Arabidopsis thaliana: one gene and its partners. The protein of the gene in region 1 interacts with the protein of each later gene in a pairwise test. Each region holds a gene or a part of one and is shown on either strand. Other genes may lie near its edges.

Region 1 (7,768 bases):
TCAAGTTTGGTCACTCTAATTAAGGAATGAAATGAAAGATACGTTTTTGTTAACAATCATTTTGTTCAAGTCCTGTAATAAACTAAGGAGCATGACATAATCAGAACAAATCAACAAGGTAATAATAACGTATCCGAATAAAAAGCCAACATTGCTGCAATGGTGCAAAGTAACACAGCTTTAGCAAAATTTCAAGTCTTACAAGCTATCTTTATAACGATTCAGTCAACAGTTTCTCTCAAGCATTTGAAATAGTTTTGGTCGTCCCTCTACATAATCCATTAAACCGAGATTGATACAACACTAAAGAATCTAAAACAGCGGAAAGCAAAACTCAAAGGGGCTTTGTATCCCAAAGATGCAGCATTCCGTATAGCCCAGGCTAGGCCGTGATTTCTGTGCCTTCTACTCTCTCTTTCTCCGAAATGCCTCTGCTTGTCTTAGTCCCTGCAAATGTGCAACAAAACATCACAATCAAACATTAGCCATGAGATTACGACATGGTTACATGGACTGGTAATTTTCAAAGATTTTACAATTGCGCAACTTCTTTATGAATAAAAACCATTAGAATCAAAGTCAAACTTTCTTTCCAAATCACTCCACAGATGTGAACTCAAAGTATTACTCATACACTAGGAATATACGATATCTGATTCCAAAAGAATTAAGACACATGTTACATGCAAGGATACTCAGATGACAACTTTAGCTTTGCTACAATTATATATACCAATAATAACTATTATGCAGCTGTTACGTAAAGGCACACACCACACATCATGACAAGAGAAACAAATAAACAAAATAGTCTGGAAGAAGGTTACATACCAGTACTTAATCAAGCCGTCCCAACCACAAGTTGCGACTTTACTCTGTTCCAGAGGATGCCACTCGGCTCCAATGCATACTCCATTGTGACATTTAAGAGTCCTAAACACTTTGCAGCTCTTCCAGTCCCAAAACCAGCACTTACCCTCACCATCTCCTGACATTACAAACCGTCCATCTGGCGAGAAGTTAACTTGGCATGCATAACCGGCAACAATGTGCCCTGCAAACCTCTTCTTTTTATTCAGCTGAAACCTTTCTCGGGTACTGTAGATCAGAATCTGGTTATCCAAACTCTGTGCAGCAAGCCAGTTTCCATTCGGGTGAACAGAAATGGAAGGCATAGAATGCATATGAGGCTCACTGATATACTTGATAACCACCGGGATCCCAAATTCCCAAACACGGAGAGACTTATCATCGCTCGACGTGACAAATCTTCTGTTATTGTCCACAAATGTGATAGTATTAACTGCCCCCAAGTGCTGATCATACTCTTGCGTAACCTCCCCCGTATTAATATCCCACTGCACAATCTTCTTATCACTCATACCAGCCAACAAAATGTTCTGCTTGTCATCATCCGGATTCAGCTTAACCACATACGGAATCTTCCCAGTGGAGAAAGTCGATATAACTTGGCCAGTTTCCGTGTCCCAATACTTAATGTTCTTATCATACCCAGCAGTCAAGAATTTAGACCCATCATTGGAGAAGCAAATATCCCTCACAGCTTTGGCGTGACCCATGTAAGTCCTCATACATTTACCAGAGTTATACACATCCCAAATCTTAACCTTACAATCCATACCTGCAGAGAGAAGCAAATGTCCTTGCTTTGGGAAGAACCTAATAGCGGAAACACCTTTCGTGTGCCCACTCCATGTATGAACCAAACGTTTTGGAATGTAGCAATGATCATTGTTCGCCTTAGCATCTTTAGGAGCCTCAATCCAAGACCTTCCTTGATAATCTTTCTCCTCTTTGCCATGGAAGGTACTCTTATCCGCATAATGCTCTCCTTTGGTTTCACCTTGTTGTCCCTTCTCCTCCTTCTTCTTGGCATGATCCTCCGCATACTTCTTCTGCTCCTCCGTCAACTCTCCCTGAACCACCTCCTTCTTCCTCGACCACGGACTCTTCCTATTCTTCCTAAGCCAAGCTTCCGTCTCCGGATTCTCAGCTTCCGGCTCAATCTCTTCCTTTTTCTCTTCCCCTTCCCTCTCCTCTTTGCTCCTCTCAATCTTCCTCCGCTTCTGCTCACTCTGAGGAATATTAAAAACCGAAAGACCATCGTTCTTCTTAAACGCCTCAACATCGCCGACGTAGTTCATCCCAGACGGATCCGCCGCGTAACCGCACTTATGAAACGTATGGTACTGCTCTTCAAACCCAAACGATCCAATCGAAGCATCTTCCACAGAACCTAGCTTATGATTCCGCATCCCTTGAGCGATCCCGTCTTTCGCATACGGATGCGCGGGGCCGAACATCGGAGCCCACAGCTGATCATGGGTAGGGTTATAAAAGACGACGTGTTGAGTCGGGTCAATCGGCTTCGATTTCGATTGATTCACGTTAGCCACCGTGAGAGCTAGTGCCGTATCGTCTACCTCCGGCGCCGATGATTTCGCCTTTAACATACGAGGCGGTGAAGATTCCGGCGAGGAAGCAACGGCTTCGTCTTCTTCTTCGTAGGATTGAATCAGATCCATCTCTCACGATTTTGCTCTCTTACCACAAGTGTTTGAGAAACTTTATACTGAGATTTTGCCTCTTTTCTCTTCGACAAGGGTTTCAAAATTCCTAAATCTAAAATAAGGGTTGCAATTTGTGCGATATTTAGATTTTCAAATATAGCCTCTTACTATTTTTTTCTTTTCACATTTACCCCAATAGTGTATTTTATTGACATTTACATCCCACTGTCTTACTCGGTGGTTAAAATTATGCAAATCTGGACCAATCTAAAATCACGCCAAGCCAAACTGAATTAAACCGGGATGAATAAAAACGAAACGACAACGTTTTAAGGTTTCTTATGTTGACGGTCAACATATTTATCATAATCGAACTCAAAAGCAATTACTCATCTCATATTTAAAGAACTAACACATGTGTGAAAAAACACACTAGCGTTAGCGTAGACTTATCATTTGGGATTTCATGCTTCAAAATATATATATCCATAGATGATTTTCCGTACTCTCTCTTCTATCCTTGATGGATCAATGCCAATCCGACTAATGATAGCCTGCAAATATATGTAATAAAAATTTATACGAAAGACATGACACATGCATATACGTGTGTATTATACAAACATATGCGTGTGGATGTGGTACCTGGGCTATGATTGTGTAAGTGGTCCTATCATTCAAGTTCTGAAGATTAGCACTCATTACTTGAGCTCCTTCTTCTTCAAAAATACTCACAAGCTCGTGTAACATTACTCTTTTCATGTTTAGATCCATGATCAGATTCATTTCTATGGTCGAATCCCGCGAACGAATACTGAGTTTGGGTAGAAGAAACGACCCTTCGTAGAGATTCCCGAGTTCTCCTTGTAACAATGTCCTTTTCTTCTCTTTCAAATAATTTACATTCTCTTTCAATTGGATCATGTATGATGTCGCTTGATCTATAAGGTGAGGCACTGGTAACTGTTTAGATCCCAAAAAAAACCCCAAGATAATTACTTTCATTAATCTTTTACATGAATGTGGTTATATTCAATATATATAAATAAACCGTAAAAACCCTAGCTACGTGAATCATTTATTTGTCAATTAGACACCGTACTTAAAAGAGAGCTAATATGGACGGTCATAGAGGGACAACTGCCTATTCAATTAATCAAAATATTATCTCTTTAGAATAAAACGTACATCTTACAGTAATTATGTAGATAATGTTTGTATTGTTGTATATACGCATAAAACACATCTACAATTTAATATAAGATATATATAGAGAGAGAAAGAGAGAGAGGGAGAGTTAGAGAGAAAAAACGGACCTTGCGAGTGGGAGAAACATGAGAAGAAAGTATAGAGAAGAGATGTTTCATGCGCATCCTTCGATCCTTCTCTCTGAGGTTTCGTTGTTCCCTTAACGACGATGAGTTTCCTTCTCCTATTTCTCTTGCTCTCCCCATTCTTTTTGTTTTCTTTTAAGCTTTTATGTACAAGTTTCTCTTTTCAAATCCATCTCTCTTTATATACAGTTAAAGAGATAGAGAGGGCCGGGAGATACAGAGTCACAAATCTCAACTTTGAGAGAAAGAGCTACGTGATTTAGATGAAAGGGATGTTTTGGAAGAAAGTCATGGCTTTTGTGATTGCGTCCGTGAGCTTACACACTAAATTAATAAGATGCATGCATCTTTCCTACCAAGTAAATTTTACTATTTACTTCGGAATTTCCACGTTCTTAAAGATACAAAAGTTTCAAAACAATTAGATATGTTGTTTATCATTAAAAAAAAAATTAGATTTGTTGGTGGGTTGACACATTACTAGGACGCATCATAATTTCGATGTAAGATTTCTAACGTTCAAAGACATAGTTTAGATAGCATCATGCTTACCGTGTGAGATGAGATTCCTAACGTTCAGAGATATGATTCTTCTTCTTTCAGATTACTAACCATGAGTTTAAGTCCTGTGATTTACAGTAGGTTTGGAGAAAATTATTATCAAAAATCATTTCAATGGCGTAAAATAGTCAACAGCCACGGTAGACAAAAATGAATTCCTTACAACAGTACTATATATGTTTCTATCAACAAATAGAAAAGGAAAATTGTTTTGTATACTGATAGAATCGGGACCACTAAATCAAATAGTATCATCATGTTCAATTAATTTGGTGCACGTATTCATTATCCGAGGAAAGTATCATAAGGCGCCATAACCTAAGATTATTCAACAAGCTATCATTATCATAGAAGAAAAGGACACAACACATTCGGCATTCCTTACATAAATTATTAAAGGCCCTCAACTCTCTTTGGCCGTATGGCCGACATCGTTCACCGGATAGGGGATCTACATGGACCGATCGTCTAAACGTTCACCGGAGGTGAATACAAAGACAGAAAATTAAACATGCCTAGTTTTGTTGAGTCTTGGAGTACTCCAGGTAGATGTTGGTCATAACTTTGCCACTGAGCAAACTGACATAAAAAGTAAAAGGAGCCGCAATATGATACTAACACTGTGTATATATCGTCTCGCTGCTTGACCACTTGCTTAGAAACTGAGTAAGGGACAATTATATCCTTATTGCATTTTCCACATGTTATTCTTTTTTTCCTTCTTCAAATATTTGAATTCGTACAAGAAGAGAATAGTCATTTGGTAACTATCATAATTCATAGCCATTGAAAATCCGTGACTAGAAATACAGATTAGCCCAATTTTAAAATGTTAAGCCTATAATTACTTGTAACTAATTCTGTGGCTAGAAAAGGATGATTACTTATAGTTAGAAAATTTGTAGCGAAATTTTTGTTATCGATCTATATATACTGTCCAATTTATATAAGACATTTAGAAAAAAAGATTTGTTTACTAGTTATGTCGTGTATATATACATGTTTTTTAAGTTTTAGTTAACTATATTCACATACAAAATCTAACCATGTGTGATTTTAGGAGAAAACAAAGATGAATGTCCTTGCTATCGCAATATGAAAAACTCCAAAAGTGGATCCAAATGCCTATGCCCTTGAACATGTTTTGAAGATAGTCATCAGATGCATAACATCTATCTATTCTATGTATGCAAATATCAATTACGACTATTTTAGACGGCGCCTGTAATAAAATATTTGAGCTTAAAATGCTCAATGAAAGAAAATTTGAGAGTTCTTGACAATAAAAGTAGATAATATATTTTATATTTAAACATGAGATTCTATAAACGTAATAGAGATTAGGCATAGAAAGAAAAGAGAAAATAAAGAGATTTTGAAGATGATGTGAGAGGCTTTTTCGTTCATATACTTGAGGAAATGGTATTCAGACATTTGATCATTCTCTTTAACTTAAACAACAATAGGGCTATTACACCAATTCACTCTTAAAAATACTCATAATCTCATGTTTAAAGAACTAACACATTTAATTTGTTAAGAAAAGACTTGTGATTTGGGATTCAATAATGCTTCAAAAAATTAATCATGAGATTATATCCCTTAATCTCTCTTCTATCCTTGATGGATCAATCCCGATCCGACATATGATAGCCTGCAAATATTCATTTAGGTGATTATTAATTTATCATATATATATAGTCCTTCAAAAAAAGTTCAAACTATATTTTAATGATATGGAACAAAGAGATGCTGCTAAAAAAAAAAAAAAAAACATGACACATGCATGTACCTGGGCTATGATTGTATAAAAGGTCCTATCATTCAAGTTCTGAAGATTAGCACTCATCACTTGAGCTCCTTCTTCTTCAAAAACACTCACAAGCTTGTGTAACATTACTCCTTTCATGTTTAGATCCATAACCAGATTCATTTCTATGATCGAATCCAGTGAACGAATACTGAGTTTTGGCAGAAGAGACGACCCTTCAGAGCGATTTTTGACTTCTCCTCCTAACATTCTCCTTTTCATCTCATTCAAATAGTTTACCTTCTCTTTCAGTTGGATCATGTATGATACCGCTTGATCTATAAGTTGAGGCACTGGCAACTGTTGGTGCCAATAAAAACACACAACCTAGTTACTTCCATGTCTTTTGTATGAATTTGGTTATAATCGTTATATGTATTAACTAAAATGTAATATACTAGATTTTAACCCGCGGTACACCGCGGGAACAATTGTTTTTTTAAATTAGTATATATAAAAGTTCGTAAATTATATCTATCTATAAAATATATTTATTTTACAGTTTACAACTGTTATTAAGTAATGTCCTTTCAAACCCGTCCCGCCAAACCCGTCCCGTAAAAAAAAACTACAGTACATCGTTGATTTAAATATATAATTAAAATAAATATTTTACGGGATTACAATTGTACTTTAGTTTGTCAAACAATTTTTGTTTTAAATAGTTGCCGAAATCTAGTTTAAATTTTGGAGAAATAAGATTTAGTGAATTGATAAAAAAATGTATTTAAGTGCGTTTTGCTCATTTTAAGGGATTGCAATTGTATTTTGGTTTGCCAAACATTTTTTGTTATAAATAGTTACCGACATTTAGTTCAAATTTTGAAGAAATCTGCGTGATATATGAGATTGTAATATATTTGAAATAGTTTTGAGAACGATGATTTTGTTACGTTTTAATACATGTACATTTTACTAACTGAAAATATGAGATTGATTATTTGTATAACACGGAAAATATGAGATTGATTCTTTATATTACAATGAAAATGAATGATTCAAAACTAAAGATCATAGTGTAATATAGTTTAGCTTAGAAAATAATTAAAACGATTTTATTTATTTATTTAGTTTTCTAAATTTTAGTTTAGATTCAGAAAATAATTGTTTAATTTCCTTAGAAGATGATAAACATATATGGAAGATTTGAATCTCTATATATTTTAAAAATCAATCAATAATGTCAATATAATTAAAGGATAGATTAGAAAAAAGTTTCTTGAATGCTAAATAATTAATTTGTTATTTATAAACAAAATATTAAATGCTGTAAAAACGAAATATTAAATAAATATGGAAAGAAAATTCTACCTTAAAATATTTTGTACTATTAAAACCGATTTTTTTTTTGCAGCAAATTAAAACCGAAAATTAATAAATACTTAAGAGAGATTTTAGGAATGATTTTTTTGAAGTAATGTTAGACTTTTTTTGAAGTAATGGTGGATTTAATATAGAGACATTTTAGGCAATATTTTTGTTAGGTAAATATTTGATTTAAAATGTCGATTGAAAAAAATAAATTCAGTGGC
Region 2 (10,560 bases), on another chromosome or scaffold:
GGATATGTGGGCCGTATAGAAGGAATCTATTGAAGGCCCAAACCCATACTGACGAGCCCAAAGGTTCGTTTTGCGTTTTATGTTTCGGTTCGATGCCAACGCCACATTCTGAGCTAGGCAAAAAACAAACGTGTCTTTGAATAGACTCCTCTCGTTAACACATGCAGCGGCTGCATGGTGACGCCATTAACACGTGGCCTACAATTGCATGATGTCTCCATTGACACGTGACTTCTCGTCTCCTTTCTTAATATATCTAACAAACACTCCTACCTCTTCCAAAATATATACACATCTTTTTGATCAATCTCTCATTCAAAATCTCATTCTCTCTAGTAAACAAGAACAAAAAAATGGCGGATACAGCTAGAGGAACCCATCACGATATCATCGGCAGAGACCAGTACCCGATGATGGGCCGAGACCGAGACCAGTACCAGATGTCCGGACGAGGATCTGACTACTCCAAGTCTAGGCAGATTGCTAAAGCTGCAACTGCTGTCACAGCTGGTGGTTCCCTCCTTGTTCTCTCCAGCCTTACCCTTGTTGGAACTGTCATAGCTTTGACTGTTGCAACACCTCTGCTCGTTATCTTCAGCCCAATCCTTGTCCCGGCTCTCATCACAGTTGCACTCCTCATCACCGGTTTTCTTTCCTCTGGAGGGTTTGGCATTGCCGCTATAACCGTTTTCTCTTGGATTTACAAGTAAGCACACATTTATCATCTTACTTCATAATTTTGTGCAATATGTGCATGCATGTGTTGAGCCAGTAGCTTTGGATCAATTTTTTTGGTCGAATAACAAATGTAACAATAAGAAATTGCAAATTCTAGGGAACATTTGGTTAACTAAATACGAAATTTGACCTAGCTAGCTTGAATGTGTCTGTGTATATCATCTATATAGGTAAAATGCTTGGTATGATACCTATTGATTGTGAATAGGTACGCAACGGGAGAGCACCCACAGGGATCAGACAAGTTGGACAGTGCAAGGATGAAGTTGGGAAGCAAAGCTCAGGATCTGAAAGACAGAGCTCAGTACTACGGACAGCAACATACTGGTGGGGAACATGACCGTGACCGTACTCGTGGTGGCCAGCACACTACTTAAGTTACCCCACTGATGTCATCGTCATAGTCCAATAACTCCAATGTCGGGGAGTTAGTTTATGAGGAATAAAGTGTTTAGAATTTGATCAGGGGGAGATAATAAAAGCCGAGTTTGAATCTTTTTGTTATAAGTAATGTTTATGTGTGTTTCTATATGTTGTCAAATGGTACCATGTTTTTTTTCCTCTCTTTTTGTAACTTGCAAGTGTTGTGTTGTACTTTATTTGGCTTCTTTGTAAGTTGGTAACGGTGGTCTATATATGGAAAAGGTCTTGTTTTGTTAAACTTATGTTAGTTAACTGGATTCGTCTTTAACCACAAAAAGTTTTCAATAAGCTACAAATTTAGACACGCAAGCCGATGCAGTCATTAGTACATATATTTATTGCAAGTGATTACATGGCAACCCAAACTTCAAAAACAGTAGGTTGCTCCATTTAGTAACCTGAATTGCCTCCTGATTCTAGTTGATCCCCTTCAGGGGATATAATACATTGGATTTGGAAGTTTGAAGGATCTTTCTGACATTGCAGAACCCAACAAATCACTCCATTGGTCACCTGAATTGCCTCTGATCCTATACCCTTCTTTCACCATCTCCTCTCTCTTCTCTGACTTGTACATGGTCGCTGTTTTGTTCCGATCATCCAACGATCTATTAACATTAAGCAGCAAACCAAAGCGTCAATCATCCATTCAAACCCAAGATTACAATCCAAGATCAAACAACGTCATGTTACCACAACCATGGATCCAGATCAATAGTTGGTTAAAAACTGTATGAGCTACATTGTAATGGAGGTCCAAAAGTAGAGTATGCATACCTCAGAATAAGCTTGTCCCAGTTATGGAAACCGGCATTGCGCAGGTTTTCGACAGTGATAACCCGGTGGTTCTCTCTACGCCCTGTAAGCAAGATAACTTTGTACCCCAAATGTATAACCTTTTGGTAAAGCTTCAAGCTTGGTGCTATAGCAGGTGCTATCCCTTTCTCTACCCACATATCAAACTTTGAATGATCAAAAACTTCCAACCTGCAAATTCCCAAACAGAACAAACATTCACATTTATCATACATAGACAAACAAGCAAAGAAAAAGACAGACAACAACACATACCTCAAATCTTAACTAATTCGACATAGTAAAAAGACAAATCCATCTATACAATTATCAAGGAACCAACTTTTTATAGCAATGTTGTAAAATGAAAGATTTAAGATAAATTACCCACAACCGTGTTCCATGTAATAAGGAAGATTCGACAATAACGTCTCATCAATATCGAAAATCCAAATGTCTTTCCCGTCACCGTTAGATTCGAAGCTGCTCGCGTAAACCTTAGCTTCTTCGGAGACTCTCTCCACATCGACGACGTAACCTTCACCCATCAGGTAATCTTTCACGTAATCGGCGCATTCAGCTGGAATGGTTTTCCATGGAGCGAGATTGTTTGTCTCCGCCGCGAATCTCCAGCTCGTGCAATGTAGATTGACATTGTCGTTTATGTTCTTGAGCTGGGTTTCGAAGATCAATGGTCGCGCAATGAGATACGAGCTGGAGTTTTCATTGGAGAACGCCAGAGGAATCAAGGAGAAGAGAATGAGATTCACGAGAATCCGCATTGTATATCGCCGGAAACGCCGGGAGAAAAAAAGTTGAGATTTTTTCAATTGGGTCTTCAAGAGATTCAGGACATAAGCGAAATCCGAAGAAATATCAAAGAGAAGAGGAGATTTTCCATTCTCTAATGATGAGGAAGTGGATTATAAGAACCCTAGAAACAGTGAAACATTTCCTCTCAAGGTCCTTTTTTCAACGGAGAAATGAGGATTCTCGGAGAAAAGTTTCTGTTTCTTTTTGGGCAATGGAAAGGAAGAGAGACAAAAAAGACCAAAATACCAAAATGAAAAATAAAGGGCAATGGTTTTGTGTTCTTATTTGGAGGCAAATTAACGGATGGATCCGAATATTCGTTTACAAGATGATTAAGGTTTCGTTTCGGTTTATATTTTTGATTCAGCATGTGTGTAGTAGTAGTACAAAGCAAAACGTCTTGCCGTTTATATATCCACAAAAACGCTACACAGTTTGGCTTACTACTATCGTGTAGACCTCCATTCCATGATGGCTGTGTAAAGAGTATAATTGGGTAAAAGGTTCTTGCTATGCAACGGTGAATCCGTCATCGGCGATGTGTTGTGCTCCTTAAGCCACTCCTCTATCGCATGACGGTCGTATGTGTATCCGTCTGCTGCAACGCACGGCTCGTTCATCACGTCCTGCATTATACCACACAAGCTCACACATTTTCACCACAACACACTGAGATGAGATGTTTCAACATTGAACAAGGTTTTATATAGAGTTTACCTTAAGTAATGGGCAGATGAAATGAGTGGGAGGCTGTGTCGATACGCCGGAAAATGAGTTCCTTGCCTTTTCAGCTACTTTCTTTAGGTTTTCGAGCGCTGGAAGAATCTGATCTTTCAAATCAGGTCTATCTTTCCCGCGTAGCTCTGTACAACACAAAGCTAATGCGGCCAATTCCCGGGTTTCTTCAATCGGCCAGTTACCGGCTTTCTGATCTAAGATCTTAAGGAACTCATCATTACTATCCATTGCGCTCTCAACGAAATGTGTCAATGCAATAGCAGGTTTTGCTGTGAGAAGCTGAAGAAGAATCATTCCAAAGGAGTAGATATCTGATTTCGATGATATCCTTCCAGTGCGCTGATATTCCGGATCAATATAGCATAACGTTCCCACGGGGCTTGTTTGTTTGTATATAGTGAATTTAGTTGATAGAGGATCGACTTGAACCATCGTTGAGAGTCCCACGTCTCCAACTTTGCTGACAAAGTTGTGATCAAGTAAGATGTTTGCAGGTTTAAGATCACGGTGAATGATTGGTTTAGGCTTTGATTTGTGGAGGAAGACAAGAGCCGCTGCAACTTCCCAAGCAATCCTAAACCGCTCAAACCACGGGAGTGGCGGACTGTTGTTGACCTGGAAAAGTCTGTCCTCCAAGCTACCGTTTTCCATGTACTCATAAACTAAAGCACCTTGCTCCGGGCACGCTCCTAGAAGGAGAACCAAATGTGGATGCCTAATCTTGCTCAAGATTTCGAGCTGCAAATTAGAGAGGCCAGTGAGATAAATGTAGACTCTTATCCACAAGAATTGAAATTAAAATCAGAAAACTTCCATATAGTGAAAGGCACAAAATCTCAAACAAAGTTCCTTAAACCAAATTTGAGCTCACTTCCATACCTCTTGTTGGAATTGTTTGGAAAGTTGATTTTCAGCTGACTGCAAAACTTTGACAACTGCAGTTGTATGATGCAGATTACACTTGTAAACAGCTCCGTAAGCTCCCATTCCGATCTTCAGTTCTTCTGAGAATGATGAAGTGGCAGCCATAATTTCTTCCCAAGCAAAGTGCTGATATTGCAGCTGAGGAGACCCGAGAGTGCCCTCGAGCTTCTCTTTCTCTTTAGTATCACGTGCGGATTTCCTTTCGGCTTCTCTTCTCTGCGCAATTTCTCTCTCTGCTCTTTCTCTCATGCTCTCTGCATCTCTCCTTGCCTTCTCAAAATTCTGCTTTTCCTTTTCTGCTAACTCTCGAGCTTCATACTCCTTCAGCTTTAGCTCTTCAAGCTTTATGGCTTCTTCTAACCGACGTTGGTTAAGTTCACCAAGCTGAAACATTTTCAGAAAAGCATTGAGCACAATTTAATAAGTTTCATCAAATGCAAAGATATATGATATTATGAGGCCTTCACCTTTCGAGAAGCATCAAAGGTTTCGGTTTGAGCCACAGCATACATTTCTTGAACGTGTCTAAGCTCAGCTCTCAACTTCTCAACCTCAAAGTTTAGGTTTACCTGAACAAATAATCTTATATTATTCCGATTCACAAGACAATGTCGAAATTAAAACTCCATTTTATACCTGGTTGTCTGTATAGGATTGTTCACTTAGAGCATCAGACATGTTGGAAGCTTGTTGAGAAGCCCGAGAGTGTGTAGTATCGACACCCATGCCACTCCAACTAAACCTAGTACCAAAATTCCCGTATTCACGGTTGCTCGAAGAAGAACTCATAGCTTCTTTTCTCTCCTCATAATCTCTACGCCGAGGAGTCCAACGTGATGTAGTATCTGTGCTGCTTCTATTGATACTTGAAACATCTCTAGCTTCCTCTGCATCCAAAGACATGCACCTGGTTTCATCCGAGCCAACAGAACTCGTTTCCATTGGAACTGATGCCTGTCCTGCAATTGCAGGGAAATGTTGCATTCTCCTGACCGGAAGGGATAGAGGACGAGATTGAGAGTCATGCGCACTTGACATTACATCTGATGAATCTAGAAGAGAAAATGGGGTAACAGAATTAGATATACACACCATTTCTAGTAGAGTATTCACACAAATACATTGATGAGTCATGGACCTGAGGTGGGACCAGAAGAACCGCTTGAAGAATTTGTTCTCTCACTACCATCTTCTCTTATAGTAGCATTTCCGTCTGAGTCTGATGGTCGGACGCATGACAATTTACCTTTTGAAACAACATAGACTGTACAAAAGTTTGGCATCAAAGCTGATATCACCGAGCAAATATCAGCTTTCCTGGAATTTTCAAAACAGATTCATTGGTACACGGAATAGAAAGAACAAAGGTCGAAAGCTAGCAGCAGGGTGGTAGTGTACCTTGAGAAAAAACTACGGGATGAGCCTCCAATGACAATTCTGTCTATTGAATCCCGAGTCACTTCTTCAGCTATTGCGGCTGCCACATTATCTGATTCGATCACAAGAACTTCTACTGCAACCTTTCATTAAGGTAATTCAATGAGTTCATGTAACCTTGAAATTTTCATTAAAGAAGAGCGTAAGATATCTCATTATACCAAAGAAAATACCTTTCTCCGCACGAACAGTTTTGTGTAAGGTTTAAGCATTTCTTCAGACTGCCACAGTATTTCCTGTCTATATGCAGTTACTACATCATCTCGTACCTCGGAAATCGGGATTGCATTTCCCACTTGAGAAGGAGCAAGAAATGTACATCAGGCTTTTTATCAGTTACAATAAGTCTTGATTTTGTTTTACACAACAATACCAAATAGAAAAAAGGGAAACACAGGAAGAAGTCCTGAGTACAAGAAAGAAAGAAACAGAAATACAAGGCATAGTTGGAACTTTACTTGGTGTAGGTACAGAAGTAATCATTGGATGGATGTGAAGCAGCTTGAAGCCAACATTTCCTTCAGTAGCAAATTTTTCGATCGCCCATGTAACTACATATTTGCTTTTACTGCTCCCACTTAGAGCCACAACGACGGTACGAGATGGGGGAGGAGGAGGAGGAGGAGGAAGAGCAAGCTTGTCTGGTGATCTACTCATTGTTAATCTTTTGTGTTCTTGTTTCTATTGACCCTGCACACTACAACCATTTCAGACACTGCAAAACAATGTTCTAAAAAGAGTGTTTTGTTCCTAAAGTAGAGATAACATGAAAGAAAGGGAAAGCTAAAACTCTCCAGTCAGTGGGAATCAACAGACAGTAATTATATTTGAACTCACATAGCTGAATGTTGAATATCAACTCATCAAACCGAAAAGGCAAATAATAATAAGTATTGACAGAATCTAACGGAGGTATACCGATCATGAGATACTCTTAATAGCGTTGAAAGTCAAATGTCTCAGAGTCTAATTTGGACGACCAAAAGGATCGTAAAGCAACAACACTCAACGACCATCGAAGCTAACAAATAGCTAGCTTCTTATAAAGATAAAAAAAAAAACTCAAACTTTCCAATAAAAATGTCAACTTTGAGCACAATGCAATTGCAGAGAATTCGAAAGGTTATGAAACATTGATCAAGTCAATCAAAGGGACCATCTTCAGGGCATAGAGTTAAACAAGAAAACCAGAAATTGAACCTACCTGGTAAATAAAGGATGCGACTTTAGTCAAACCCAATACAAAAATTGAGAGAAGAAATGGTGGAAGCTTCCATTTCACAGAGCAATCAATTTCAGAAAATAAAGAGAGCAGCAGAAGAAGAAGATGAAGACCCACGTTGGTGCTGCTAATCTCAGATACAAACAATGGGTTCTTATAACCAGAGAATCTAAAAAAGATTTGAAAAGAAGCATCAAAAATAATAAGAAAATGAGACAAGTTGGTCATGTTAATGGTCAAAGGAGGATCAGTCCTGGGTATATACTCTTTTGTTCTCTCGCCTGAATTTTCTTCATTATCAGAGTGACAGAAGGAGAGTGTGTTCTAAAAGAAAGAAGTTTTCTCCAACCTTAGGCCTTGACTATTAGTTTAATCATAGTTTATCTCTTAATTCCCTAATTATTTGGTATTTAACTACATTCCTCAACGCCATTATTATATCGAGTTTGGCCATAGTTGCACGCATGATCTATGTCTTCCTCACGTCTTTTTGTCTCCTCCCCTTTATGCATAGTGGAGTGGTACAAGACTTTGGTAGAGTTCACCTACAACATTGGTTCGCATTTGAACCGTGATTTGGCCGGTTCAATTTAAACGCCGGTTTACGAGTTTTAACCTCTGGCTGATTAAGTAACCAATTTTGGCAAAATCCAAAGACGAAGGCAAAACTCTCTGGCTGATCAAGAGGATTCGATTAGGCTCTTTGACCTTGTCAACAAAGACCTTTTAGAATAAAAGCATTCAAAGTATCTATAGAAGCTAAAAACATTAAAAGTTACTTATGGAAAACGAATTGGCATGTCATTGTTCCTTGATGATTGATGATAAAAGGTGGAAAAAACTCGAATTTTAAACTTGTCTTGTCTCGACGCTAAAATCTTCATCCCCTGTAGTCATTCATCATGAAATATTCGATCAGGACACATTATTTTCAAATTTCAATTATCTAATATCTCTATAAACTTAAAATCTATTATTATTTTCTTATGTTGATTCTCCTTTTTTCCGTACGAAATGTCTTCCCACTTTCAAATTGGTTTTGGAGTTTTCATGCTCTTGAGTCTAGTATTCGTATTACTATTGTGTATTCTGAATGTAAACGACTAGTGTTCAGGTCAATATATCAATGATTATTTTCTCCATTCTCGTTTTGTTTGATGCAAAAACTAAAGAACAAATTCTGTCAAAAATATAAGAATATATATCAATATTGTGTTGCACTACATAATATTCTTTTTACTATGAATGGCCATCTTTTTTTAAGAAAAAAATGGACGAAAAAGGCAGAGTTTGTCCAATGAAAACTGGATAAATGACATTAGTAAATAGCAAATGACATATAATTTATTTATAACTTATTAATAGGAAATTTGCAAATGGGTATTTTCTTACAATTTGTTTCTTTTGTTGTGTGTGTGGTCAAGATCTTCTTTTAATACATGATCGAGTGTAGAAACTCTAATTATATGGCGATGATGAAATTTGATAGTGGAAGAACTTTTAAATATGATAATTTACAATGTTGAATTAGATACAAATATCTTAATTTATTAATGGCTGAAATGACTTGATTTATTAATTACATAAAGGTTTAAATGCAAAAGTAACCTTTGTGTACACATTTGTTTTGAATAGTTTACAAAGTTACTCTAAAATAATCTGCTTTGTAATATGAAAATATCATTTTTTGGTAAAGAATGATATTGAAAACATGTTTGCAAAACAACAGACTTACCTGTCAGATACATACACACATCAACTTAAACATAGTTTGACCACACTAAAAATGCCTATGTTCGTTGACATTCACGAACAAAAGAAAAACTATTTACCCATAAATTCCGTGAAATTTTTGTCTAACTATGATAAAAATCCATTATTTTGGATTAAAATTCAAATAAAATCCAATTGAAAACGCTACCGAAACTCAAAATGAAAAAGACCTACAAATATGTTTTGGTTTATATAAACCCATACATATGTTACACGGAAAAAAAGAAAACTACTATTACGTACTGGTTTTAGACTTTTAGGTTTTTAACCACATCCAAATTATCCAAATTGAATATGAAATTTTATGATTTGATCTATGTACACCTTTAGTTATAATAAAGCATAGTCTCTTTTTTTTTTATTATGTTTTTATTTCGTTTTTGGAAACTCATATGCTGACGTACCAAATAAATTTGGGATATATAATCCAGTATTGAAACAATTATTATTATAACAACAGTGGAGTAGTATTTTAATGCATTTAATGGAAAAAAAGAAAACAGAGTAAACGGATAAGCGTGTCGTGGAGAAGAAGGACCAAAGCAAAGTAAAGAAAGTCATATATTCCTGAAAATCTATAAAAGACATTTCGCATTTATCCACTTCCTCGATTCAATCAAAACTGCTTCAAGTAAAAAGCCTACGAAATAGCATCGGACCAAAAGACAAACTCACCGAGTAAACATACGCAACCTGTCGTGTAAGTAAAAACAATTTGATAGTGATCTCTCTATGTTTGGTGGAGGAAGAGGGCCTATGGGTGGCGGCGGAGGTATGTTACGCGCCGCCGGTCGTGCGATGACGAGGACCGGTGTAGCCAACGGTGGTATTCAAGATCCCTTTGCTTCTTCATCATCATCGTCCACGTCGTCTCCGGCTGGAAACGCCTCTGTTTCGCATGTCCAGAAACAGAGATCTTCTTCTTCTGGGTCGAATAATCTGACGTATTCCGCGGCTTCTGGGTTGTTGTTGAATCTTCCGGTGGCTGCAACCTCCGGATGGAGCGGCGGCGGTCCTTTTTCCTTTGTTAATTCTGGAGGTTATGATGATTTTGAGTGGGTTTCTGAGGAAGAAGATGATTCTCTGTTTGGCTCTGTTCCTTCTGTTGATGAAGTCCAAGATGCTGTTTCTGCTCTCCAGCAGTAATCTAATTTCTTCTCTTTTCTCATTTCACTTGAAAATGTGTGATTCTTTGGATGTGACTATTTGAGTTTGAGTCTTGTGGAAATTATTGTCATAAAATCTCATAAATTGATCACTTTTGAGTGGTAGGTATTAGTTCCCACGAGTTGTCTAAGTAATAGAGAGAGACACGAGAATTGTTATGGACTGCTATAGTGTCTCAAAGTTTAATTGTTTTCTTTCCTGATATGGATGGAATTGTCTTGATTTGATGATCTTGAAGAAGTTTGAAACTCTTTCAGCTGTGTCTCCGTGACCCCACTCAGTTGTTTTGTACTTAAAATACTTTCAAAAGTTGTTTGCTGGTTTATTCATAATAGTAATTGGTCTTTGTTATCTTATGGATTTCGAAATATTTGTGTTCTGTTTACGTGTTGGAGTAACGGTTTTGTTTTATTTTCTTGAAGGGTTTTCGATGCTAGTTCATATTCCCAGCTGGTTAGAGACAAATACGAGTGCTATCCGGAAAATGGTGGTGGAAACCAGAGCCCTATAGCCACAGGGATGGTTCATCA
Region 3 (7,170 bases), on another chromosome or scaffold:
TTGTCCCTACTTTAATTGAAACGCGTCGTTTAGGAACAACAAGTCTTATTTTATTTTATTTTTAATTCACTTACTTGAAACGCATCGTTTTTGACGCGTAATGAATTAAACTGTTTACCTTTGACTTGAGAGATGTAGTAGAAAAACTTTAAGATCTTCGAGAACAGACTTAAATTCATGTTGCATTAGAGTTTGATGAAAACCGATTGATTTTATTTTATTTTATATACATGTATTAAGATCGAGTGTAATAGTATATTTGTCCCATGTTCATTTTTTGGATGTATATACGACTTTTAGAAATTTATGCGTTCTCAACAAAAAGAAACCATCAAAGGTAGCCCTCTTCCGAAGAAAAATATTTGACTTTTATCAACCTTATAAACTAACAATCGAAAACTCATCCCAACACAATCTTCTACCTTCTTCTCTAATCCATATAGATTCCACACTTCAGCCAAAAAAAAAAAACGAGGATGGAGGTCCCAAAATCCTCATTGCTAATGATAATTTTTGTGGTAGCTTCATGTTTCTTGCATGTCAAGGCTTGGCATGGTCAGACTTATTGTGGTGGCAATGCGACTCCCCGATGCCAGCTCCGGTACATCGACTGTCCTGAAGAGTGCCCTACCGAAATGTTCCCCAACTCTCAGAACAAAATTTGTTGGGTTGATTGCTTTAAACCCCTTTGCGAGGCCGTGTGTCGGGGTAATTATTTAACCACCAATTTCTTTTTGTAATTGATGATATACCAATGCAGTTTAAAATTAGAATTAATAGAATTTCATCATTTTGATTAATTTTAGATTTTGAAAATATGTTTTAAGATTTGGATATGATCTTTTGTAGCGGTAAAACCCAACTGCGAATCCTATGGATCAATTTGTCTAGATCCGAGGTTCATAGGTGGTGATGGAATTGTGTTCTACTTCCATGGAAAGAGCAATGAACATTTTAGCATTGTCTCGGACCCTGACTTTCAGATCAATGCTAGGTTCACTGGTCATAGACCTGCTGGCCGCACTAGAGACTTTACATGGATCCAAGCTCTCGGCTTCCTCTTTAACTCCCACAAATTCTCCCTTGAGACCACCAAAGTCGCCACTTGGGACAGCAACCTTGATCACCTCAAGTTCACTATCGACGGCCAAGATTTAATTATCCCTCAAGAAACTTTATCCACTTGGTAATCATAGAAACTCAAATTTTACCCTATCATTTTTGTAGGTTGCGATTGTTTCAACTTTTAAACGTCATCTTTGTCTATTCGTTTAGATTTTCATGTAAACACTCATTATTTTAATGCATATTATCAGGTACTCATCCGACAAAGACATCAAGATTGAAAGGTTGACAGAGAAGAACAGTGTGATCGTGACTATCAAAGACAAAGCTGAGATCATGGTCAACGTGGTTCCAGTGACCAAAGAAGATGATAGAATCCACAACTACAAATTACCTGTAGATGACTGTTTTGCCCATTTTGAGGTCCAGTTCAAGTTTATTAATCTGTCCCCAAAAGTCGATGGAATCTTGGGACGCACTTATAGACCCGATTTTAAGAATCCGGCTAAACCAGGAGTCGTAATGCCAGTGGTGGGAGGTGAAGATAGCTTTAGGACATCTTCTCTGCTCTCTCATGTTTGCAAAACTTGTTTGTTCTCTGAAGATCCCGCCGTTGCGAGTGGCTCTGTCAAGCCCAAAAGTACATACGCATTGTTAGATTGCAGCCGTGGTGCGTCTTCCGGCTATGGACTCGTCTGCAGAAAGTAGTTACCAATACAAACTCAGTTTGCTAAGAATTACAGATATTAAAAGTATATTGTTATGTTTTGTGTACGTATAAAATTTATATGTTTGTCAAAATAAAACAGAGGAATAAGGTAATTAAGAACCAAATTCTAAAGAAAGTAATTGTAACTCAGTTATTTACATGTACCAGATTATCTAATCCTTAAGAAAACCATTATATTTTTGTTGTGCTCCAAATACGCAGTAATCATTTAGAGCCTAGCGTAAATTGATAAAAAGGTTATCTTCTATTTGAACACTGACTTCAAAACCCAACTTAATTAAGACATCAAAAGATGTTAAGCATCACACTCTTGGATCCGGCTATTAATATATACAATGTACTTTTGTTGTTTTAAGATTTCCAAAAGTCAAATTAATAAAATGAGCAGCTTATTGCAGCAAGTTACAATGCTCCTAATATAAGGACCGATAAGTGTGGATCACGCTCGTGTGGACGTAACTTCTAAAGACTTTTTCTTTATTTTTGAAGTTTCAAGTTTTTAAAGTCATATACATTTCAACTTAATGCATGTGTGGGTGATGCCCAGATAAGGCACACAAACCCGGCAACTCCCGATCTCAACGTGAAGTAAAATAGTTTATTTTAAATAAATTTACAGAGTGGCGTCTACAAATTCACAATCAACACGTTTCTTTTGACACCAGTCGACACATAATAAAACAGGAAGAATAAACTAGACATGAAGATCTCAAACACCTCTTCGTTAATGCTGTTTTTTCTTGCGGCCATGTTATGTTTCTTGCGAGCCAAGTCACAAGGAGTTTACTGCAGCAACCCTTAGGAACGATGCTTCCAAAAGTACATACTGTGTCCGCAAGAATGTCCCACCACCGGTGCCGCAAACTCTATGAACAGAGTCTGTTACGTAGAGTACTCTGCAACTCCGAGTGTCGCAGTAAGCGAAAATGCCTTTGAACTTTTTGTATTAAGCTTTTTACCAAATTTTGGGTGTTAAGTTATTCAATTCAGAACTTAAACCGTTTTGTGCAAATGGTATCAACACATAACCGGTGTAAAAATATTGGTAACCATTTATTTTTCTCTCCGTTGAGAAACATTACACATTTGTGGGCCGTCAAGTTGGATCAAACTAGTCCCCAGTCGAGCCTTTTTCCTTTGTGGAATCCTAAGCCTCACCGAATCGGTAAAAGCCCCATATAAATCCCTATTATTTACATCAATTGCCACTCTACTATCTCCAAGTTTTTTTTTTACTTTTTTCACCCATCAGTAACTTCACATCTCTCTCATTGCCTAAACTCGAATGTTTGACCCGAAACACCAAACCCACTCGAGCTGTACCCGAAACTCTGAGTCAACCCGCTCGAGTTCTGCTGCCGATTCACATGCCCACTCTCCGCCTCACCTTCCGCCGCTCGAAACGCATCGTAACCACCGTAACTCGGTAATCCATTGGTCGGAGCTAGCTCTGGAATTGGATTAAGACCTGCCAAGCTAGCCCAATCAAAGTTCCCGTTAAGAATCGTCCTGAGCGAATTCATCCGAGGAAGATTAAAAGACTGGTCTTTTATCTCCGGGAACGAATCAAGAACGTCGTCAAGCTGTGATGAAGAAGACGATGACGACCCATTCGTGCTATGCTCTTCACGACAAGCTTGAACAGGAGTAACAGCTTGTCTCTGAGATCCAGATGTTTTCTTGTAAATTCGACACAACACCCAATCATCCAACTGTAACAAAGAAGCAAACTTTATCAGATTTTGATTTCAATTTTAACGAATTTGGATCTGGGAAAGTTTCAGTCTTTATTTACCTTGGAGCTTCCATGGCTACGAGAATGTTCTATTAAGCGATACTCGTGCATAATCCAGTTGGTTTTAGTGCCTTTGGGAGCTTTTCCGGCGTAAAAGACCAGAGCTTTTTTAATCCCGACACGACGACCATCCGCCGTGATAATTTTGTCAGTACCCGTTGCTTTCCAATAACCCGACCCGGCTACTCTATTGGGTCTTGACCCGTTCGGATATTTCCGATCTCTTGGGCTAAAGAAATACCATTCCTTCTCTCCAAACAAAGCCTTACCTAAATAGTTACAATTATACTCCCTTTAGTTTTAACATTTTCTCAAATTAAACCCAAAAGTATGACAATTGAAAATAACACCCTACAAATGTGAAACATGTTTGCTTACTTGGCAAATCCCAAGGATCGAACTTGTAGAGATCGATGTCTCCGATGACCTGGAGAGAGAAATGATAGCCTGCAACTTTCCGACATAGATACTGAACAAGAAGCTCTTCATCTGTCGGATAAAATCTAAAACCTGGTGGCAAACTCAACTGGGCTAACGGATCTTTCTCTCTAACACCCATTTATACTCTTCTACTTCGATTCCTCAGCAACCAAAAAAAAAAAGATTTCAAGTTTCGAACTCTAAAAACCCAAATTATATGTTTTTGTTTTTATGTTCGTCGATCTTTTGGACAATATAGTAAGTAGTTGGTTTATATAGGCTACGGAAAAGCCAAAGGTTCTTCAAGGATAAGTACGGTCGTCCTTGTCTTACTGTTCTAAAATCTAATTACGATTTTCTTTGTGGACCCGTTTAACCATTTAGATACTGCCACGTCTATGAACTGGCCGACCTTATCGATGTGTTGTACAATATTTTCCAGCGATATAAATGTGCAAAAAACACGAGGAAAATTTTCTCATGAGTAAGAAATTTGTGTACTACGATTATGAGAAAAGTCCGCTGAGTGATTGCAGTAATTTATTTTTTCTTATTCCATCGTGACATGTAAAATGTCTAAATATTTACTAGAAATATTCTAATTATAGTAAGTTTTTTTCCACTGAGAAAGCAATGAAGCTTTATTATTTCTATATTCGACTATATTGGTGCCGTTCGGGTGCATGAACCGTCAGGAAAAGCTAAAGTTTATCGACACGTGTTAAGCCAGTTGTCCTTTCTTCTAGAATTTTGATCAAAAGCCTAACAACGATGTGTATCAAAATGCTCCAAATAATTAGAGGCCAGTTCGATATTTAGTTTGTCCTGAAGCACTCGATCACTACATAGATTGGAGTCAGAAAAAGAAAAGAAGAAGCACTAACTATTTGACAGATAAATCTATTGAGTAAAACAAATGGCACTAAGACGTTTTTATGAACAAAAGAGTATTAATCAGACACGCGTGGAATGCATTTTCCCGTCCGTGTGAATTGTACACGTGTTGGGAGAGTTAGGCAAGACTTCAATATAAAAGAATCAAAAGAGACAAAAAAGAAGAAAAAGTAATAATAAAAACAGCAGAAAATATTGAACAAGTGTACAAACTACAAAGTTCTAACTAAAATAAATTGAAAAGATACGTTAACATAAGACACGTATATACAGAACACTAATAGTATGATTTTAATATTTTTTAGTTAAAGATAATAACATTTGAGAATATATGATCGTTTGTATTATACCATTAAGATTATCTCACAAATGTAGCAAGTAGTCTCTTTGTTTTTGATTAAAGGATAAATTTCAAGTTTTGTCAGAACAACTAAATTCGATTTTTATATATATTTCAATGATTATCTCATAAAAGACTTATTTCATATATTTTAGTTTATATTTAAACAAAAAGAGGTTAATTAGGGTTTCGTTCACTCAAGAAATACTAGAAATGGCCTAAGAAGTTGACAAGTGAATATTTGGACCATGCTGAACAGGTCAGAGAAGCCTTTTTATATATAAACATGTGACGCGATTCAAAGAACTCGATTCTTCTTCTTCTTGATAATTCTTTTTTTTTTGTTCTTAATTATTATTATTCTCTACAAATCGTTTTCAATTGCTTTTCGGATTTTTAGATTTTAGTGAACGTGGAGAATTCTTGTTCACAGAGAGATGGACATGCCCACCCATTTCTTTTGTAAGATAATAATTTCTGAATATCAGCAAAGATACGACAAGTTTGGTTCAACGATTCGCATAACTGCAAAATGTGTTGATAAGAAACTCATCAATCGCTATTCAATTAGCGTATAATGCTCTTATGATCCTGACAAAAAAATAAATTAAGAGATATGGTTTTGATGACAATGAGGTAAAGAACAGATTGCCATAATCTAAACTTGTTCAAAAAATTCTTCAATGAATTTATTTTATTTTAATAACATTTTTCTACTTTTTTTTCAAAAATACATTTTAATTGACAGAAATTTACCACTTTTGCGATAAATATCGTTGGTGACGTTTAAATCATTTTAATATTTGTTTAGAGAATAAATAGGTAGACTTCTATTTAATGAGTTCTAAACGTATATTATATATGGTCTTTTCTAAAGTATGTTTTTCTCTGCCAAGTTACATGTTGGTTAAAGCTTTAAAAGAGATAAGGTGATCACGAAGGTTTACCAAAAAGAAAAAGAGAGAAAACAAAAACAAAAGGCATTATGCTTTCTAAATGCATAGTCTATATATGCACTCTACATTTGTACATAATTAATTCGACAATACTTATAGTAGATAAGCAAAATCTGGACTACATAATTAATTCGACACTCATAATTGATTTAGTGATGACTATTCCATTCTGAATTTTAGACTCTTCTAAAATTTTGTAGATGGTAGCACCTAATCTATATAGAGATCGATGATTCTTAGACCCTTTTTTACCAATGAAATGTTTAAATAGTTCCCACTTCAACACAATTCTTCCAAAAATGACAAACTTCAACATATATATATATATATATATATATATATATATATATATATATATATAGTTTTAAATGAACTTAAAAACATAAATTGGAAAATGGTTATTAATTAAGAAGACAATTCTAAGTGTAAAATAGCGATCTGTAGCTGCAATTGTTTTCTGAAATTGTTGAATAATTATTTTGTTCGTATATATGATGAATAGCGTACAACATACAAAACAATCAGCTGGTTTATATATTAAAAATAAAATGAGAAACTAAGAAGGCCGCAATGGGTACCAGCGACTAATTAATTAACTTTTTAAGTCCTCTTCCTAATTTTCTTTAAACAGAAAAATTAAAATAATTTTATTATCTCATTTATGTAAATTAGAGTTTTATGTTTTCTCAAACGCTTGATGTCTTGTTTTTTTTGTTCTTTAATTTTATTTATAACACATAAAAACGTTACTTTGCAAGAAACTACAAAAAAAATTGGCTGAATTTTTTAGGGTATTGTCTGGAAACCAAGTTAAATCATTGTTCCCCTAACACCACTTATTGCTTGAAGTAATCTCAAATAATGGGTTATGTGATCATATCATTTGGATAGGAGGCTTGGAAGCCCATAGACCATAGTACGTTTACTATATATGCACCACAAATTCGTCAGCAGCTCGAATACAATTTCT

What was found. The genes of interacting proteins can lie anywhere in the genome.
Region 2: the proteins of AT1G10585 (region 1) and AT4G25160 interact in a two-hybrid assay, tested with the Arabidopsis thaliana proteins (one large-scale study listed by BioGRID).
Region 3: the proteins of AT1G10585 (region 1) and RD26 interact in a two-hybrid assay, tested with the Arabidopsis thaliana proteins (one large-scale study listed by BioGRID).

What each region holds. Positions count from the first base shown.
Region 1 is NC_003070.9:3,491,120-3,498,887, forward strand, and holds AT1G10585 (basic helix-loop-helix (bHLH) DNA-binding superfamily protein), read right to left. Parts: upstream 4,126-7,768; 5' UTR 3,986-4,125; coding exon 3,848-3,985; intron 3,566-3,847; exon of another isoform or gene 3,537-3,565; coding exon of another isoform or gene 3,495-3,536; coding exon 3,177-3,494; intron 3,086-3,176; coding exon 2,996-3,085; 3' UTR 2,651-2,995; downstream 1-2,650. Other genes in the region: AT1G10580 (Transducin/WD40 repeat-like superfamily protein), read right to left, coding at 441-447, 832-2,546; AT1G10586 (basic helix-loop-helix (bHLH) DNA-binding superfamily protein), read right to left, coding at 6,012-6,080, 6,219-6,536.
Region 2 is NC_003075.7:12,900,145-12,910,704, forward strand, and holds AT4G25160 (U-box domain-containing protein kinase family protein), read right to left. Parts: upstream 7,453-10,560; 5' UTR 7,073-7,452; intron 6,559-7,072; 5' UTR 6,526-6,558; coding exon 6,327-6,525; intron 6,164-6,326; coding exon 6,042-6,163; intron 5,952-6,041; coding exon 5,830-5,951; intron 5,749-5,829; coding exon 5,570-5,748; intron 5,484-5,569; coding exon 5,068-5,483; intron 5,001-5,067; coding exon 4,899-5,000; intron 4,816-4,898; coding exon 4,387-4,815; intron 4,246-4,386; coding exon 3,487-4,245; intron 3,396-3,486; coding exon 3,216-3,395; 3' UTR 3,036-3,215; downstream 1-3,035. Other genes in the region: OLEO1 (oleosin 1), read left to right, coding at 354-706, 947-1,115; AT4G25150 (HAD superfamily, subfamily IIIB acid phosphatase), read right to left, coding at 1,592-1,769, 1,939-2,148, 2,344-2,738; AT4G25170 (Uncharacterized conserved protein (UCP012943)), read left to right, coding at 9,596-10,005, 10,269-10,313, 10,453-10,560. UniProt on the Arabidopsis thaliana protein: Functions as an E3 ubiquitin ligase.
Region 3 is NC_003075.7:13,704,865-13,712,034, forward strand, and holds RD26 (NAC (No Apical Meristem) domain transcriptional regulator superfamily protein), read right to left. Parts: upstream 4,150-7,170; coding exon 3,941-4,149; exon of another isoform or gene 3,883-3,940; coding exon 3,591-3,882; intron 3,508-3,590; coding exon 3,064-3,507; 3' UTR 3,036-3,063; downstream 1-3,035. Other genes in the region: AT4G27400 (Late embryogenesis abundant (LEA) protein-like protein), read left to right, coding at 477-708, 850-1,186, 1,317-1,773; AT4G27415 (uncharacterized protein), read left to right, coding at 5,688-5,822. UniProt on the Arabidopsis thaliana protein: Transcription factors that bind specifically to the 5'-CATGTG-3' motif and with bipartite regions with 5'-CGTr-3' and 5'-YACG-3' as cores.